Linked DNA regions of Saccharomyces cerevisiae S288C. The main gene of each other region encodes a partner of the protein of the gene in region 4 in a complex. Each region holds a gene or a part of one and is shown on either strand. Other genes may lie near its edges. The genes, in order: SKI6, RRP6, RRP40 and RRP45. A codon is read from its position in the direction of its gene.

What was found.
Region 1: the proteins of RRP45 (region 4) and SKI6 are in contact, whole or in part, in a crystal structure (PDB 5OKZ), measured with the Saccharomyces cerevisiae proteins. Residues at the interface, in NP_010566.1 of Saccharomyces cerevisiae: Thr97 (codon at 1,647), Glu99 (codon at 1,641), Asp100 (codon at 1,638), Val102 (codon at 1,632), Leu103 (codon at 1,629), Ser105 (codon at 1,623), Arg106 (codon at 1,620), Glu109 (codon at 1,611), Lys110 (codon at 1,608), Arg114 (codon at 1,596), Ser115 (codon at 1,593), His191 (codon at 1,365), Thr206 (codon at 1,320), Glu207 (codon at 1,317), Asn209 (codon at 1,311), Ile210 (codon at 1,308), Lys211 (codon at 1,305), Asn215 (codon at 1,293), Glu217 (codon at 1,287), Asp232 (codon at 1,242), Leu239 (codon at 1,221), Arg243 (codon at 1,209), Glu244 (codon at 1,206), Val245 (codon at 1,203), Val246 (codon at 1,200), Gln247 (codon at 1,197), Val248 (codon at 1,194), Ser249 (codon at 1,191), Lys250 (codon at 1,188), Ala251 (codon at 1,185); in NP_011711.3 of Saccharomyces cerevisiae: Arg95 (codon at 2,685), Arg96 (codon at 2,688), Leu98 (codon at 2,694), Glu99 (codon at 2,697), Thr102 (codon at 2,706), Ser103 (codon at 2,709), Val105 (codon at 2,715), Arg106 (codon at 2,718), Met107 (codon at 2,721), Lys110 (codon at 2,730), Phe155 (codon at 2,865), Asp156 (codon at 2,868), Val190 (codon at 2,970), Glu194 (codon at 2,982), Lys195 (codon at 2,985), Leu196 (codon at 2,988), Ser197 (codon at 2,991), Leu198 (codon at 2,994), Leu199 (codon at 2,997), Leu200 (codon at 3,000), Val201 (codon at 3,003), Glu202 (codon at 3,006), Asp203 (codon at 3,009), Lys204 (codon at 3,012), Ile205 (codon at 3,015), Pro206 (codon at 3,018), Leu207 (codon at 3,021), Asp208 (codon at 3,024), Leu210 (codon at 3,030), Glu211 (codon at 3,033).
Region 2: RRP45 (region 4) and RRP6 share a complex: the UniProt entries of both Saccharomyces cerevisiae proteins name them as parts of the RNA exosome complex.
Region 3: the proteins of RRP45 (region 4) and RRP40 are in contact, whole or in part, in a crystal structure (PDB 5OKZ), measured with the Saccharomyces cerevisiae proteins. Residues at the interface, in NP_010566.1 of Saccharomyces cerevisiae: Lys3 (codon at 1,929), Asp4 (codon at 1,926), Ile5 (codon at 1,923), Glu6 (codon at 1,920), Ser8 (codon at 1,914), Ala9 (codon at 1,911), Ser10 (codon at 1,908), Glu11 (codon at 1,905), Phe14 (codon at 1,896), Ile15 (codon at 1,893), Glu17 (codon at 1,887), Ala18 (codon at 1,884), Gln21 (codon at 1,875), Tyr23 (codon at 1,869), Arg24 (codon at 1,866), Leu25 (codon at 1,863), Gly27 (codon at 1,857), Ser89 (codon at 1,671), Gln90 (codon at 1,668), Lys226 (codon at 1,260); in NP_014499.2 of Saccharomyces cerevisiae: Val75 (codon at 1,001), Ile77 (codon at 995), Ser87 (codon at 965), Asn90 (codon at 956), Phe91 (codon at 953), Gly116 (codon at 878), Leu118 (codon at 872), Leu150 (codon at 776), Glu151 (codon at 773), Asp152 (codon at 770), Gly153 (codon at 767), Met154 (codon at 764), Ile155 (codon at 761), Asp157 (codon at 755), Leu201 (codon at 623), Ser202 (codon at 620), Thr204 (codon at 614), Leu205 (codon at 611), Tyr208 (codon at 602), Arg209 (codon at 599), Ile234 (codon at 524).

What each region holds. Positions count from the first base shown.
Region 1 is NC_001139.9:886,480-890,347, forward strand, and holds SKI6 (exosome non-catalytic core subunit SKI6), read left to right. Parts: upstream 1-2,402; coding exon 2,403-3,143; downstream 3,144-3,868. Other genes in the region: XKS1 (xylulokinase), read right to left, coding at 1-1,396; FYV8 (Fyv8p), read right to left, coding at 3,254-3,868. UniProt on the Saccharomyces cerevisiae protein: Non-catalytic component of the RNA exosome complex which has 3'->5' exoribonuclease activity and participates in a multitude of cellular RNA processing and degradation events.
Region 2 is NC_001147.6:324,380-329,739, reverse strand, and holds RRP6 (exosome nuclease subunit RRP6), read right to left. Parts: upstream 2,909-5,360; coding exon 707-2,908; downstream 1-706. Other genes in the region: ALG6 (dolichyl-P-Glc:Man(9)GlcNAc(2)-PP-dolichol alpha-1,3-glucosyltransferase), read right to left, coding at 1-323; PHO80 (Pho80p), read right to left, coding at 3,610-4,491. UniProt on the Saccharomyces cerevisiae protein: Nuclear-specific catalytic component of the RNA exosome complex which has 3'->5' exoribonuclease activity and participates in a multitude of cellular RNA processing and degradation events.
Region 3 is NC_001147.6:52,999-56,780, reverse strand, and holds RRP40 (exosome non-catalytic core subunit RRP40), read right to left. Parts: upstream 1,224-3,782; coding exon 501-1,223; downstream 1-500. Other genes in the region: tRNA methyltransferase PPM2, read right to left, coding at 1-329; lumazine synthase RIB4, read left to right, coding at 1,677-2,186; NOP8 (Nop8p), read right to left, coding at 2,229-3,683. UniProt on the Saccharomyces cerevisiae protein: Non-catalytic component of the RNA exosome complex which has 3'->5' exoribonuclease activity and participates in a multitude of cellular RNA processing and degradation events.
Region 4 is NC_001136.10:1,018,500-1,022,681, reverse strand, and holds RRP45 (exosome non-catalytic core subunit RRP45), read right to left. Parts: upstream 1,936-4,182; coding exon 1,018-1,935; downstream 1-1,017. Other genes in the region: PHM6 (Phm6p), read left to right, coding at 361-675; RNH202 (Rnh202p), read right to left, coding at 2,262-3,314. UniProt on the Saccharomyces cerevisiae protein: Non-catalytic component of the RNA exosome complex which has 3'->5' exoribonuclease activity and participates in a multitude of cellular RNA processing and degradation events.

The DNA.
Region 1 (3,868 bases), on a different chromosome or scaffold from region 4:
AATCCGAAAGCAGGGGAGATATTCTTACCCTGCAACTTAAAGCCTGTGATTCTACAATATTTTTGGCATCGTGCCTCTTGTCTTTGAACTTGGCCACCTCTCTTTCAATCATACCCGTTTTTGGATTGAAGATAACCCTTTTGTTTATGGCTTTTACGCTAGGAACGATCTCCCCCAGAGGAAAATATACACCTAATTCATTTTCACTACTTTCTGAGTCATCTAGCACAGCTTGATTAAAAAGAGTCCAATCGTTAGTCTTCTCATAATTATTTTCCCGTTCTTTGTTTAACTCGTCTCTTATCCTCTCCCTTGCCAAAGAACCATTACAATAACAAATCATACCCATATAATGGTTTGGCAGAGTTGGATGAATGAAAAGATGATAGTTCGGAGAGGGGTGATACTTATCGGTGACCAGAAGAACTGTAGTACTTGTTCCTAGGGAAACGAGAACGTCATTCTTCCGCAGGGGTAAAGAACATATAGTGGCTAAATTATCCCCAGTCATGGGAGAGACCTTGCAGTTTGTATTGAAACCGTACTTCTCAATAAAATATTTACAGATGGTACCCGCTATCAAATTTTTCATGGGTGCTCTCATTAATTTTTGTCTGATAGTTTTATCCTTAGAAGAACTATCAATTAGATGTAGTAGCTCATCACTGAATTTTCTTTCACGTATATCATAAAGGTTCATACCACAGGCATCTGCCTCCTCTAATTCAACAAGATGGCCCACTAAGATAGAAGTCAAAAAATTAGACACTAAAGAAATGGTCTTTGTTTTTTCGTAAGCTTCTGGTTCTAATTGTGCAATTTTCAGAATTTGAGGACCAGTAAATCTAAAATGGGCTCTGGACCCTGTTAATTGAGCCATTTTTTCAGGCCCACCTATGCACTCTTCAAACTCTTGACATTGCTTTGCAGTACTGTGGTCTTGCCAATTGGGGGCGGTTTGCCTTGCAAATGCTACAGAGCTCACGTAGTGCAATAAATCTTTTTCCGGTTTCTTATTCAATTGCTCTAACAGAGATTCGGCTTGGGAGGACCAGTAGACAGACCCGTGCTGCTGGCAGGACCCTGAGACGGCCATAACTTTGTTCAATGGAAATTTAGCCTCGCGATATTTCGAGAGAACCAGATCTAGAGCCTCTAACCACATGGCTACGGGACATTCGATAGTGTCGCCGTGTATATAGACACCCTTCTTTGTGTGATAATGCGGAAGATCCTTTTCAAATTCCACTGTTTCTGAATGGACAATTTTTAGGTCCTGGTTAATGGCGAGACATTTCAGTTGTTGGGTCGAAAGATCAAACCCAAGATAGTATGAGTCTAAAGACATTGTGTTGGAAACCTCTCTTGTCTGTCTCTGAATTACTGAACACAACATTAAAGTACTAATCTCATCCTCCTTTTGTTTTTCTCGAGAGGGCCCCCTTATTCGTCCGCCTGAGATTGCATTGGCCGAATTGAAAAGTGACAGTTATGCACCTCAGCGGCTATTCCCTGCGTCGCTTGCTGAAGATTGAGGATTATAGGAAGTAGTAAGCTGGAAATGGTAATTTGTAAAAAGAAAATTTCTAATACTGTGACAATGTTATTAAATCGGGGTTGTTTTTGTTTGGGGCGGCCAGCGGAATAATTTGTTTTCAAGGACAGCAGAAGCTCAGAAGAACAAAATCTCCGTGATCTTTTAAACTTTTTTCCATTCTGATGGAATAATGGTCTTGATCCCCTAAATATTTCCTTTTTTATTGCAATTATGATAGAAATTAATAGTAGTCTATGCTGGATGATATATATATCTCTTTTGAGCTTGCTTCAAATTTTTTCCCGTTATAATGATGAGTGTTTTGCTTATTAAGGGTCTAGGACATTTCTATCAGTTTCTATACCAAAAGAAGAAAAAGTGGAGAATTGTTTGTTTATTTTAATATTTTGTTCTTTAGTTTTAAAAATTCAGAAGAGAAAAAAATTTTATTTGTCACAAGGAAATAAAACATAAACAAAAAAGAAAAATTAAGATTTGCAATTCTGCCGCTTAAGCAAAAGTAGATCATTCACTGGAATATATATATATAAACGCATTTATAATCTTGTAACGTGCACTCAATTTAGCTACGAAAGCCAACCAGCAAGGAACCTTTTATTTGAGTAGGTACATTTACATCTTCGGGTAACGCGGTGAAATTGAAAAATTTTAAGGCATTAATAATTGAAAAGCTAGAAGAAATGGATGAATGAATGACATTGCGAACCATTGTGCAATGAACATCATCCAAAAGAAAACATCATTTACACATATTTTCTTTCCAGGGTCCCACTGGTAAAATCTATTAACATATAAAAAGATTTACAAAAAAACTTTAGTGCCATAACTACAGCAGGATCATCATATGTCAAGACTAGAAATATACTCGCCAGAAGGGCTACGTCTCGATGGACGTCGATGGAATGAACTCCGCCGTTTTGAAAGTTCCATCAACACACATCCGCACGCTGCAGACGGTTCATCCTACATGGAACAAGGTAACAACAAAATTATCACTCTTGTTAAAGGTCCAAAAGAGCCAAGATTGAAATCTCAAATGGATACCTCAAAGGCTTTATTGAACGTATCGGTAAACATTACAAAATTCTCCAAATTCGAAAGAAGTAAATCAAGCCACAAGAATGAAAGGCGTGTTCTTGAGATACAAACCTCCCTGGTGAGGATGTTTGAGAAGAATGTCATGCTGAATATCTACCCCAGAACAGTTATCGATATCGAGATCCATGTCCTTGAGCAAGATGGCGGTATTATGGGATCTTTAATCAACGGTATTACCCTCGCTTTAATAGATGCCGGTATATCAATGTTCGATTACATAAGTGGTATATCCGTCGGGCTGTACGATACTACCCCATTATTAGATACCAATTCATTAGAAGAAAATGCTATGAGTACAGTGACACTAGGTGTGGTAGGGAAGTCAGAAAAACTTTCTCTTTTATTGGTGGAAGACAAAATTCCGTTAGATAGGTTAGAGAACGTTCTTGCCATCGGCATCGCAGGTGCTCATAGGGTAAGAGATTTGATGGATGAAGAACTGAGGAAACATGCTCAGAAAAGAGTCAGTAACGCCTCTGCTAGGTAGAATAAAAAACGCCATTAATTGCCACTGTTTATATAAAAGTACATAAAAAACAGTAAAATTGAAAATTGAACGCATTTACATTTTCGTGTTTCTACCGTAAAGCAAAACGCTTACAGTTTTTTCTTACCTATTGATGCGAATAAATCCTTTGGTTTCATAGAATGCTGGAAAACTTTTCTCCTTAAGTGCGTTACATTTTGGTTGACACTAGCAACCGTGTTAATGACAGTATGCTTCTTACTCAAATCGTCCGCGTTCGCATATGCTTCCCTAACGTGACTATGCTGCTTATACTCCTCAGCTATGAAATCCTTATCCTTATTAGAGGATGATTTTAGCGTATAATTTATCCATGTTTGTATCCCCGTATCATATTCATCTAGCTCACGCTTATAATTTCTCAACTGTTCTATCTTACCGGCGTGCGAAGTCTTACTGTTCAGTAGTTTATTCATATCTAATTTCGGTAAGTTATTCTGCTGCCCCAATTTCGCCATTTCTTCAGTACTGGGTTCATGGACGCTTGTCATTTCGCCTTGAGATACTGTTCTGTTTTCACTTTTGAAAGATGCACTGCGCGCTGCCAAATCATTGGCAGTATTGTTACTATTATCATTATCTGTTGTACTATTATCGTTTCCTGCATTTAATTGTTCCTGTGCGTCCATCGGTAGAGGTGGCAAATTCGATTGGTTACCAATCAAACCGGGAACATTATAAATCGT
Region 2 (5,360 bases), on a different chromosome or scaffold from region 4:
GAATGAAATGCTGTTAATGGTGGATAGTCCAATCCCCAGTATTGCAAATCATACCAGTACCACTTAGAAAGCGGTAAATGTTGCGTAATTTCCATCCAATGTCTCTGAGCCTCAAAATCGCCGTACAGCGGTGGACTGCCTTTCCCAGAATATGGACCAAGTCCAATTGTGCACCTCAGTATTACAGCACATACAAAGATAATATATTCTGGCAGCCATTGGTTCCCCACTGGCCTAAACGGATACAAAAAATCATACATTGGAGAAGCATAAAATGATTCTTCTGCTGGTTTGTTCACCAGTAACCTTTTGCCAATGGCCATTTTCTATGCGAAGCCTGATGTGAAGAAAAGAATTCCTGACACCGTCCATTCGGAGTGCCATTGCTTTAACATGAGCAAATCCCTTTTCTAACTTGGAAGTATTGTTCTCGCTGAGTATTTAACACGCACAATATTCGAGCGAAGTATAATCCTGCAAAAATTCAACTATAGATTTCCGGATAACCTCCGACGTTGAAATTATATAAAACTTGTACTTTTCATAATAAAGGAGATGAAGGGAAACACAGAAACAAAAAAAGAGAAAATGGTGTGCATGGGGGAGCCATAACTCCATGACACAGATATTCGATTAGATGAATTTAGAGGTCTTAAATGAAAATTACCATAATTTATAAATAAAAAAATACGCTTGTTTTACATAATCACCTTTTAAATGACAGATTCTTACCTTTGGCGGCAGGCCTCCTCTTTTTAGCTGCCCTTGGTCCATTACTATCGCTAGATGATGGGTCGAATCTCCTTTTCTTTTGTTGTCTATTATTTTGGCCAGGCTTATTAGATAAGATATTCGGAATTTTTGAATAATCCACAGCATCTTTTTCCGTTACACCTTTTTCCTTTGCTGGTTGTTTCTTTTGAATGTTTTTCTTCTTTAAAACAACAAGATCATCAAGATTATCAATCTCAGGCGAGTGATTAGGTGCGCTCGCAGGGTCTACTGTCTTAATCTCCTCTAGCTTGACAGGAACAACGAGAGGTTTCTCTATTTCGAATATGATATCCTCCAAGTTTGCTAAGGCAGACTTGAAATTTTGTGCTCGGATCCTGATATCTTCCGTCTTCACTTTATTTGGCAAGCCGTCTTTGCTATATGCAATATCATGCTCCTCACGTGGTAAAATCTTACCCAACAGAATAGAAGAATTAGTGACAGGCTTGGCTCGGCTCTTGGAAATATTGCTGTTGCACAACACCGAAAACCTTTCCATAACATCACGGATTTGAGGAACACTTATAGTCTCCAACAATATTCCGTCTGCTTTGGTCTCGGAAGATGGAATGGGAGTAGCTTCCTCATTGGTGTTCTTGATGTTTCGTAATGCATCTCTTATCAAATTAGCTAATAGTTTTGCATTCTGGCGGACATGTTCAGTTACGCCATTGGTCAAAGAAACAACACCTATGACATCAGTAGGTGTATATGCGACAAGTGCAGCCAATAACTGGTTTGGCATAACAAATCGTGGCGATTCATCGTCTCTTCTTGCAATAAGATCTCTCCATTGGTATAGCTCTCTTACTAATACTTCCCTCTCAGGTGGTATGTTGTACTGATACATCAATATTTTCCAAGGACTCTCTTTTTCGATTGGAGAATAAACTTCTGAAGAAGGTGTCAGTGGTCTGTACTTTGAATATTCAAACCTTCTTTTTGCGACATTTCTTGATTCATAAAGAACACCTGCTAACTTATTAGACTCGATAAGTTTGTTTCTCAACTGGTCATATATATTTAGTAAAAAGTGAGTATCTGCTCTAGCATATGCCGTCATGGGTTTTGAAAGCGGTCTTATACGCCAGTCAGCCAACTGATATTTCTTTGAAGTTTTAAAATTGGCAAAATTCTCCAAAAGATAGGCCAAACTATGTCTAGGAAGACCGATTGCTTTAGACGCATGGTAAGTATCGAAGAGACCAACGACATACAAACCTAAATCTCGCTGAAGCCAAATAATATCCATGAATGCACCGTGAAAAACTTTCACAATTGAAGGGTTCGTAAACACTTCGTTCAGAATATGTAAATTTTCGCGAAGTTTTAGAGTATCAACTAAATAATCCCTTTCCCTTGTACTAATTTGCATGAGGCAAACAATACCATAGTATGACCTATAATCGTGATGCTCAAGATCAACGGCAATCTCTTTCGTATTTTTCAAGTCCTCCAACATTGATTCGAGTTCTGTACTTGTATCTACCCAAATTGGTACCGAATCATCCCAGGATTTTGAGGGAATCTCCTCTCTAATTTGGAGAATTTCTGGACTATACTCTTGATGATCAATCTCATATTCATAAGGATGGGGGTAGTGACTGGGGTTATTTTCATCATCATCAACCAACCTCAAACTCTCAGAGAGTGGCTTCAAAGCATTTGGTTTTTCCTTCAATAAAGGTATGAACGGATGACTTTCGCTGTTATCAATTGGACTTTTAAATTTCAACTGAGGTTTTTCGACTCTTTTGGTGGGAGAAAAATTCTTTCCTGAAAATTCGCCTAAATACTGAAGATCGGAACCTCTTGACTTTGAGTTTATTGCACAATTCAGCTTATCCAGCGAATGGTCTGACATTTCTAACAAATTATCCATGATGTTTCCAAAGTTGTTCCACAAGTCAGAAATGTCCTCTTCTTTAAGTTCAAATGATTCATGATGCTCATCAATAGAGAGGATTATTTCATTCGCCATATCCGCAAGTTTGTCTGCTTTTGATTTCAGATCTTTACTAAATCCCCTGTCTAAATTCTTGTAAAAGTCTACATCTTGACTGGCTAACGATGATGCTGCTCTCACCACATTTATCACCCTAGATAAAAGTACATCCGGATTTTCAGAAGTCATAACGCACTTATTGGGTGCTTATAAGCTGTTTGTTGTTCCTATTTCGTCTATCTTCAGATGAACATTAATATTCATTACTGAAAAATTTTCCGATGCCCTCATATTTTTGGGTAAAATATTATTAATAATATCACGTGAACTTATTTTGCATTTAAAAAAAAGTAAAAACTATTTGCTAAAATATATTTTTTTAATTTTTAAAAATAATGTTTTAATTATTTAATGTATATGACTTCCGAAAAATATATATTTGATAACAAAAATTATTATATGCGATATTGAAATTTCATTGTTCAGTATTTTTCCACTAAAACATGTGAAAGTAATTTTCATTATTGAACATGAAATGGTTCTGTCAAGGAAGTTTTGAAACTAGTATCTGAAAAGAACAGTGATGATATGAATCTACATGTATTTATCAAGTTAATTGAAATGGAGTTCTCAAGCTCATCTCGAAGTGTTTTCTGTCGCTTATGCTCTTATGATGCAAAAAGGCTGAAATAGAACATATCCTTCTTTAGCAAAAGAGGGAAGTTATTCTCTTATATACTACCTGAAATCTTGAACTTTTTAGCCAAATGATGGCCAATTGCTTATTATACACACACAGATATATATATATATATATATATATATGTACAAATGGAAAGTTTTAATTTTGCTCAATCATGATTGCTTTCATAATACCCCACGAAAAATCATTAATCTGGCTTTGATCGCTTGTTATAGATATGTGCGTCCTTTGCCTCAGAATATCGCTTTTGTGAAGAGTGAGAATTGGGTGATGACGACCCCTTTAGTTGAGTAGTTTGGGAGCCACTTTCACTCACTATATCAATATTTGGCGGGAGAACATAATCAACCTTTCTACTCTTATCAGGTGAAGCGTTAAAGGAACCCACCAGCTGAACTATTCTTCGATAGTATTTATCTAGAACATTATATCCACTTTTTGGACGATTAACGTAAGAATAAGAATCCAAATCGAGAGACCCTAATGCGTTTTTATCTATGACAAACTTTTTCTGTTTTTGCTCTATACTACATAACGTAATGTTATGATCCCGCGGAATGATTCTGTAGTTTACTCTCTTTAAAAAATCGTTCTCCAGTATATTCAATTCGTGACATCGTACTCCTCCAACTTTTGCATAATGGGCGTTTGTTGAGAACGAATCACATAAGCCTTTTGTTGCGACTGTGGTGGCTGTTAATAAAAACCTATGGGCAGTCAACGAATTAAGCGTAAAATCAGGATACACAGTTTGCAATAAATCGATATAATAGAGTGATGTCATAAGCACACAATGTTCTAAAGAGGAAAACTTTGTCAGTCGTATGAAATAGTTGAAGATTGATATGTTTGGAGGAATCTTAGAATGGTATCGTGTTAAAGTAATTTGGTCATCAGATTTCTTTGTTGCTGAATTTTCATTGATTGCTATCAGCGATACTAACATTCGTGATATGAGCACCACTAGGTCAGTTCTAGAGCATTTATTAAAATCAGCGGGCAGAATTACTTTTGGTATCCCTTGATCCTCATGTATATTTTCGGAACGTTCTCCTGATGTGCTTTCCATGATTTCTATGAGTCTCCAAAGGATATCCTCGTCTTATGATAGCTTGCAGACTTAAATTTGATAAACACTTATAAAAAGAAAGGTTATCTGCCTCTCGAAGTATATAACTGATCACTGGAACGCTATTGGAAACAATACGGATGATAAAATTGGAATATAAATAATCTTAAGAAGAAAAAAAAAACAGGTAGGAGCTATAATCGGCTAAAGAGAAAAGAAGAAAAGTTGCAGTGTATACGGATGAGCACTTTCAAAGTAATATGGCTATTTATGATGGCTTGGGGCATTAGATTAAAGGAAAGCCAATATACGCTGAATAACTTTCTGAAGTTTGAATCCTTTATTCATCAAATGAAGAAGAGATCCTAGGATGAGTATGGAGACTGATTGTTTGTTAAAATCTTATAACCCGTATGTGTTTCCAAGGTGGTTTACAGAAGCCTCAGGCTCTCACCTACGGGTTAAAATCTGACTATGGTACAAGCACGTTCGCCTCATTCATATTTTCCATAGAAAGCGGACTCAAATTTTGAAACCGCATTTTAGAAAGAAAAACTCGATAGCATGTTAAATATTTTAAAGAATACCATAATTCGTTAAAAATACAAAAGTGTACTGATATCGTACTTCCTCTAGGGTAGCACTACCTTGTTTAGGCCAGAAATTAAGTAACAAACTTTTCTTGTTTGCTTCGAGTATACTAAAAAACAGACACTCGGGGTTAATAGGCGGTCTTCCGTTGTTGAGCTCTTTTTTTTTTAGAAATCCAACATCTCTTCGAATAGTAGATTAGAAATAGTATTTATGTCAGCGTTCCTTGAGCCAAATGTACTAAATTTCCCGTCGTTTTAATTATGCTGCATGTTGGA
Region 3 (3,782 bases), on a different chromosome or scaffold from region 4:
ACTATCTTTTTATCCTGTGGCGTTTGTTCAATGATGGAGTTCAATCTTGACCTGATGGCAAATAACCTCAACCAATAACCTCTGTTAATACAGGGAGATCTTTTAATTTTCTTAGGAACAAAGAATTTAAAATATTCCAACAGTTTATTATTCTTATCCATTTGGAAATTATTAGCCGAACTCAGTTTTGGCAAATACAATAACTCTACCGATCTTTTAGAAGCAATTGAGGAGTTATTTGTGCCTTGAATCGCCAAATCAGCGTACTTTTTACGTCTTTCTTGTTTGACATTCTTGTTCGTTTGCTTTATAGTGGTCAGATTCTTCATCGTATTAGATATGTGCACTATAGTTGTCGAAATTTTATGGCCATATGTTAGATGTGATGAGATGAGATGAGATGAAACTTTTTTTCCTTCGCTTTTTCAAAGGACATTAAAAAAGGACGTGAAATATTGATGATATCTATGTGTTTATATATTTTAATTATACATGGTAGTCTACTCCTCCTTGACCGTAAGTATTTCTTTAAACTGTCTTTTTGCTATATCCTTGAACGCTGCCGTGTCGTTTTTTTGACAACACTCCATTATGGTTCTATAACAAGCTAAAGTGTTAGATAATTCCTCGCACTTAACCCAGATCTTCCCATTGAGACCAATGGCGACTTCAAACTTGGTATGTGCAGCCAACACTTTTAATAACGGGAAGTCATTATTGAAAAGCAACTGGCGTGCGAAATTCAAATTCACGTCAATGATCATACCATCTTCCAATATCCCGAAACCAGCATCGCGTCCTGTAGTTGAGTCAAAACATTCTATTTCGGCTTCTAGTTCCTTTTCTGCGGTACAAACTCTCGCATACACTAGATCTCCCACTTGCAAAGTTGGCCTGTTTTTCTTTGAAGCATTGGGAAAAGCCATATACGATAGTGAAACACTGGAGGAGAAATTTTGCAACGAAACCTTATAGCTATCTGAAAATGTCCCTATAATGACACCGATTACAAAATCGTTTACAGATGGAATGTATCTCTTACTAGAATAGTCTATATATGCGGTCTGAACACCACTCTTACCCTTAGCGGAAACATGCAAAACACCTGTATTAACAGGTCGTATTTCTTGAGTATTGGGGTCACAATATATGCCAGGGCCCAGTTTAACAGGTGTAGTAGGGTCTACAGGAAAGCTATCACCAGGGAATATGAACGTAGACATCTTGTATGCTCTTGGTTAGTCGAAATGCTGGAGATGAGCTGCTGAAGCATCCGTTTGTGCTGTTGGTTTAATATGCTTCTCTAAACCAAAAAATTTCAGCCGATCAGGTCCGGGTCACACCACTACCCTTACTAGTAAACAATGATGGCTTTCATTAAGGTAACTTTAAGTGAGGTGGATGGAACTAGTTTCCACGAAACTTCATCGAAGAGGTCTGGGGTTCTATGACGTATAATTAAAACTCTGGGAGGTTTTCGGAGGTTCCCGTAGGTCAATTCTTAAGGCTCTATGACATATTCTGGGAGCGGAGATATTTTCGGAGGTCCCCGTTAATAAGAGAAAAGTAGCCATATAAAAGAGAACAATGAAATATTGCCCCAGAGAGTGGGTTCAAAAGCATGAAAAGGAACAGTATAACGCAGTATAACGCAGTATAACGCAGTATAACGCAGTATGGCAGTTAAAGGATTAGGCAAACCAGATCAAGTTTATGACGGTTCCAAAATCAGGGTCGGTATCATTCATGCCCGTTGGAACCGTGTCATTATTGACGCTCTTGTGAAAGGTGCTATTGAAAGAATGGCTTCCCTTGGTGTCGAGGAAAATAACATAATAATTGAAACTGTTCCTGGATCCTATGAATTACCTTGGGGGACAAAAAGGTTTGTTGACAGACAAGCGAAGTTGGGAAAGCCGCTAGATGTTGTAATTCCTATTGGTGTACTTATCAAAGGTAGTACAATGCACTTTGAATACATTTCAGATTCCACCACTCACGCATTGATGAACTTACAAGAAAAAGTCGACATGCCCGTCATTTTTGGCCTCTTAACTTGCATGACTGAAGAACAAGCCCTGGCCAGAGCTGGCATCGATGAAGCGCACTCCATGCACAACCATGGTGAAGATTGGGGTGCTGCAGCAGTGGAAATGGCTGTTAAGTTCGGTAAAAATGCTTTTTGAATAAGCGCAGAGAAATCTATACTATATATGTATATATACTCACTATAGAAGAAGCCCGCTCTTTGATTGTTTCCTCTTACGGTGCTTCAATGCATCTTTCATTTTGCGCCTCATATCACGGGTCCAATTACCTCTGTTAGCCCAGAACTCCTCATCCCAGTTCGATAGCATTGTTTCTCTTCCAGGAGCCCTTACTTTACTCAACTGTGTTTGTCCTACTAAAAATGGCGATTGCAAATGAGGGAAAAACAAGAAATTTTTGTTATCTTTATCTCTAGATACATGTGGTACGGGAGCCGATGTCAAACCTAGGGTGTCAGATGATTTACTTACTTCTTCCTCCAGTTGGTTCACATCAACATCTTTCGCATGATCAATATCATTATCAGAATCTTCAATCAATTTGAATTGTGATACAGGTTCTGCCTCGTTGGGGTTGAATAGGTTTCTTAACGTCTCAGTGTTGCTTATTGTACCTTGACCAATTTCCTTGGTGAAAGTCGGAATAAATTCATTATCCTCCTGCCCGTCGCCCTCGTCCTGTTCTTTCCTTTCCTCTGGTTTTTCTTGTGGTAGGGTGCTCTGGTCCTTCGTCTTATTAACATTCTCGTATTCGGGAGCGTTTACTTCTTTTTCTTCTTCTTCTTCTTCTTCTTCCTCTCCTTTACGTTGCTCTGTCAGAAGTTCCTCGTCCGAATCATTCAACGTCATTGGCTTATCGAAGTCAAAGTCCTTTAATAGGTCATTAAGAATAACATTATTTTTCTCCTTCTCCTCTTCTGACATATTCTCATCGCTGTCCATCTCTCCACTGCAAACGTTTTCATCTTTTGACACTGTTAACTGTTTCAGCCCATTTTTGAATCGAACAGTTTTAACAGCACGACTGTAATCCAATCTATCGACAATGTGGTTGTATCCGTTTTTCCAGAAATTATTTGTAAACTTGTACACAAGGTCATTCAATTCTTTGTTCCTTTCATAACCCCATAATTTAGTCTTATAGCATTTGTAAACTTTCAATGAACCATTGACATTGATCCTGAATGTAATGTTCCTCAATTGACTCCTTTTTCTCGGCGCCTCCCTCATTCTGCCAGCAATAACTTCCTTATGATCTTTCCAACTTTTCGCTACATTTTCCATTTTCTTATAATGTTGCCAATTCTTTTTTTTCATTTTAGCATTTAGTATAATATCTTCTTTAAGGTCCTTTGCATGTTGTACCGCCCAGGTGCTTTCCCAATTCGGCTTTGCTTCATCAACCTTCAAAATGTTCCCTTTAAACTTAACATTATTAAAGCTCTTTCTTAGCTTGTTAAAATCTGCCTCATCATTAAACCTTATATCGATAAATGCAAAGTGGTTGTGTTTTTCAAACTGAAAATCTTGGCAATCACCAAATTTTCCAAATCGATCTAGTAGTTCTGAATAACAATCATCTGCATTATGGAAAATATTTCCGACAAAAATTCTTTTTTGAATTACACTATCCATCGTCGTATATTACCTAGTTCTCACTTCAGGTACAATCTAAAATGATATGGGCCTATTGTATACTTTGTTAATTGACTGACATTGACATTTTAGCTCATC
Region 4 (4,182 bases):
ACTAACATCGCAAATAGTGTTATTACTTTTTCCATTTGGATGTTCTGCCCTATAATGTTACGCAGTTCCGAGCTTCGCTGACACGTGGGAGGTGGGATATAATATTTGCACGGGTTCTTTTTTGTGTCGTCTGGCGGAAAAAAATAGACTCGTCTCTTGTATGGCGCGCTAGTAATTTATTATTTGCGATGCGCAGAACCTTATCTTTTGTTTTCTATTCAGTATAAAACTTGAACGATTTCACCAGATGTTTGTACACTTTGATTCATTGCAGCCCAAATAGAATTTTTGTCAACTGCCATACCAAACTTGTTGAACTAAAAAAAAACGACAGCAATTGTTTTTCAACCTGACACCAAGATGGAAGATACCTCGAGGTGCATCGATGATGTACTGAAAATAGGACAACAGGAGAAGGAAATAAGACAGGCAGAGTTTTCTGACGCACAAGGGGAGAGAGAGGAGGTTAAGTGTATTGATTACACAGTAGATTTGGAAGCAGGTCTTCCGCGCCACGAGAGTAGTGGAAAAAGTAATACCCTCAAACAGTGTTATAACGCCGTTCTAGGGTTTCTCGAGGAACTCATCATCGTCATTATTATTGTGTTGCTGTTGTACAGTTTGACAATGGTAGGTCTTTTTTATGTGATGACGATGACGAAGTTTTTGTTTTAATAATAAGAATAATGGGATTTGTTTTCTTTCAAGATTTTTCTTTTGGATAGTACATGCCTTCAGAAATTAAGCAGGGAGGCAAAAGATAATATTTTCTCATATGCATTTATAGCCGAGCCTTTTTTCTTCGCAGTATGCGTTTGTTTTATAGTAATTTAATGATTTTTATGTTTTTGAACACCGCAGTCAAGAAAACAGTAGGAAAAAAACTGCGGGCGTCTTTCATACTGCCTTTAGTAGTAAGTGTAATTTTACAATCTATACGTACCGATATATATACATATATTAATGCATGCATGTATATGTATAAGCGTTGCTTTTATTTCAGTTTTTTCGTTAATATTAGATCTCGCGGGCATTTTCAGATGTAAGCATGGCTGCATACTTGTTTCTCTTTTCTGAATCCTCCTTTAAAAGCTGCAGTATTTGATCAGTTATTTTCTCAATAATGCTGTAAGCCTCGTGACAACATTTCATTAGCGTCAACGCATCCATTGGTAAACCACCCGCTTTGGAAACTTGTACCACTTCACGGTTTTTGTTTAGCGTAACCGTCAATACACCATCTCGCAGTAGTTCCTCTTTCAATGTTGCATCAATGATGGAAATTTCTGAGTTAGTCTCACCTTTTATGTTTTCCTCGGTGTCTTGAGGATTGAAGAAAGAAAAAGTTACACATATTGGAATATGCAGTATACCTAGTGGAACTGGCTCTCTTTCATTAACAGGATGAACAATGATCTGCTCGCCATGGACAGTTATATCTGGTTTCTTAAAATGCATCAATCCTGCCATGACGGCAATACACGAAGCGTCAATAAATCCACCATCACAATCCAGGAAATGTACATCAGCTCTCACAGCCCAGCATTTACTGCCAGCAACGATACATAGTCCTTCCACGTCCAATGCGCCCGACCGCCTAACAGATTTTTCAATTATTCTTGAACATAAAACTTCATCTTCCCCCGTGATATTTCCATTTTCAAATTGAGAACCAGCCATAGGAGATATTTCTGTAGATATTACAAATAATCCTTCAAATGGCCTGTCTTCGTATGGTTGTGCTATTTGACAACTAATCCTGCAGTGAACTTTGGTGTTGCCCATTTTTACGCTAACATCACCAAATTCTTTACCAAACGTTATTTCCACGTCACGAAATTGATCAAAGGAGCGGCCGTCCAACCTATAATTCTGTCTCAGTGCTTCTAAGATAAATTTTGACTCGGATGCGGATATCTCAATGTCTTTGGCCATTTGTCTTTTAATCTAATGTATATTCTGAACAATTTTGCAATCACTACGTCCTGTTGATTAATGTATCGAGACTGAAAGTTAGGAAGTTAGAAAAAAAACTTGAAAGTTGGTAAGGTAAATACAATCTAGCAACCGTTTCCTATTCCTTTATATTCAGACATTTGTTAACATCATCGAGGGAAAAGTTGTTAATTTTTTCTTGAATTCGAGAAAGGAAAAAAAAGGTAGCCCATTCGTTGGTAGTGACAATATTGTGTAATTATCTCGCACTGAGGTCATCACCACCGAGTTATAGCATTCAAATTGCTGTTTAATTATGATACTAGCTACTTACGTTTAAAAAATCCATCAATGGCCCCTTTTCCTATGGCTACTTTTGGTTTTTTATTTTGAACTATTTTTTTGGTAACTTTTTTCACTGGCAATGAAACCCTGCCATTCGAATTTAGGCCTACATTCATGGCACTTTTCATCAGTAATTCTCTTTCAGCATTCTGTAATTCGTTCGTAGTCTCGTAGTTTTCGAGTTCTATGAAGCTAGCTTTTATATCCGGATTTAGGCAACCACTATCCATTGTAGGTGAAAAGGTAAGTAAATTATGGTAGGCCGCCCTTGGAATCAGGGAAACTAAAAGATTTGTAGCCATAACTACCTTGTAGCACTGTTTTATTTCCGTTGGGGCATTTTTAAGTGTAGGGATACTTGGAGGAAAGTTTTCTACAATTTTTGATACCTTGCCTAACAAAAATTGTGTTATCATTGCAGATGTGATCTTGTAATAGACGTCACCAGCTTCCTCAATGGTTTCACTAACTTTTGCTAAGCCACTCTTGAGACGACTTAAAGAAATGTTTTCCCAATTCTTGTCATGGTTATCCGTTAAGAAATCATGGTAATCACGCACCGTAAGAAATTTCTCATTGGTTTTGCTGTTGCTTTTTTGGTTTTCACCAGTATCACTTGAATTGGAGTAATCTTGTTCATCTGCTGAAACACTGTTTCTATAGTAAAATCCAATCAAACTAAAAGCAATATCGTATAAAGAACAAAAGTGTATTTTGCTTGAGTTAAAAACATAACCATCGGTGGGATCAGACGTATTTACAATGAAAGTTGATTTGATCGGGTGATTTTCCTTAGTATAGTGATATTTATCATTTGCCAAATCTTCCTCATGTGAATACGAGGGCCCTTTGCCGAATTGAAAAGATCTTATTTCGTAAAGTTTTCCATTAATATTTTCGAAGAGCTCGATACGAGGTTTGGATGTAATATTGGAAGGTGGCGGCAGTGTAAAAGTGTTTATAGTTTTCGAAGTTTCATAATCGTCTGGTAAAATTATTAGTCGTTCTTCCCCCCCAATGTTGGAAACGGTCATGCTTTTTGTTCGAGAGGCCAGAAAAGAAAGTCAACTATTGCGACAGAATAAGATTAAATTTGTACTCGATTTGTTTCTGCTGTTGTACCAGAATCATTAACCAGATCTGACTTTAATTCTCATCGCGCTCGTGCTTTTGACAAACTTGTGAGAATGGAGTCTGTAGTGCCTTAAAAGGAAAAAAACGCGTTGTGGTTATGAATATGAGATTTCATAATCCAACTATGGCATCGACAACATTGAAAAGATAATGAGCTGGAAGTTGCTCCATTTTTTACCTTTTGAAATTTCTTCTTATATGTATATGCTCACTTTACTGACTAGTAAAATGTCGTGAAAATTTTTAGAGTTCCATTTTGGCTCAAGACAATGGCGCTACGAAGAAACGCCATACTTAAATTCCCCTCATGAACTTAGAAATTCACGAAAGAAGCTGAATCTTTACAGAATAAATTTGTAGAAGAATTTTTCTGTTCTTTTATGCTTTATTCGTTGCTGCTGTTGATAATCAGCGATAGCTGAATTTATTGAATAGAGAGGCCGGGAAACTTCGTGCTACTGTAGAACTGAGATATAGAATACATCACAACTGGATGTATTAGACAAGTTTAATTTACTAGGAAAAAAAAGCTCAGAAACTTACAATTCTAATTAATGACTAGAATTTCATATATGAATCCTAATTCAACGTGAAATTGGTGGACTTTTCAACTTGTCACACTCAAGTAGCTCATTGTTTCTTTCTCTGCTCTTAAAAATGACAATGCCACGCAAACATACGTGTGTTAAATAATGATATCAGCGCCAGATGTCACTGAATGTCAATACTTTAGTTATATCTGCAACGGTATGAGAAATAGGCGAATTT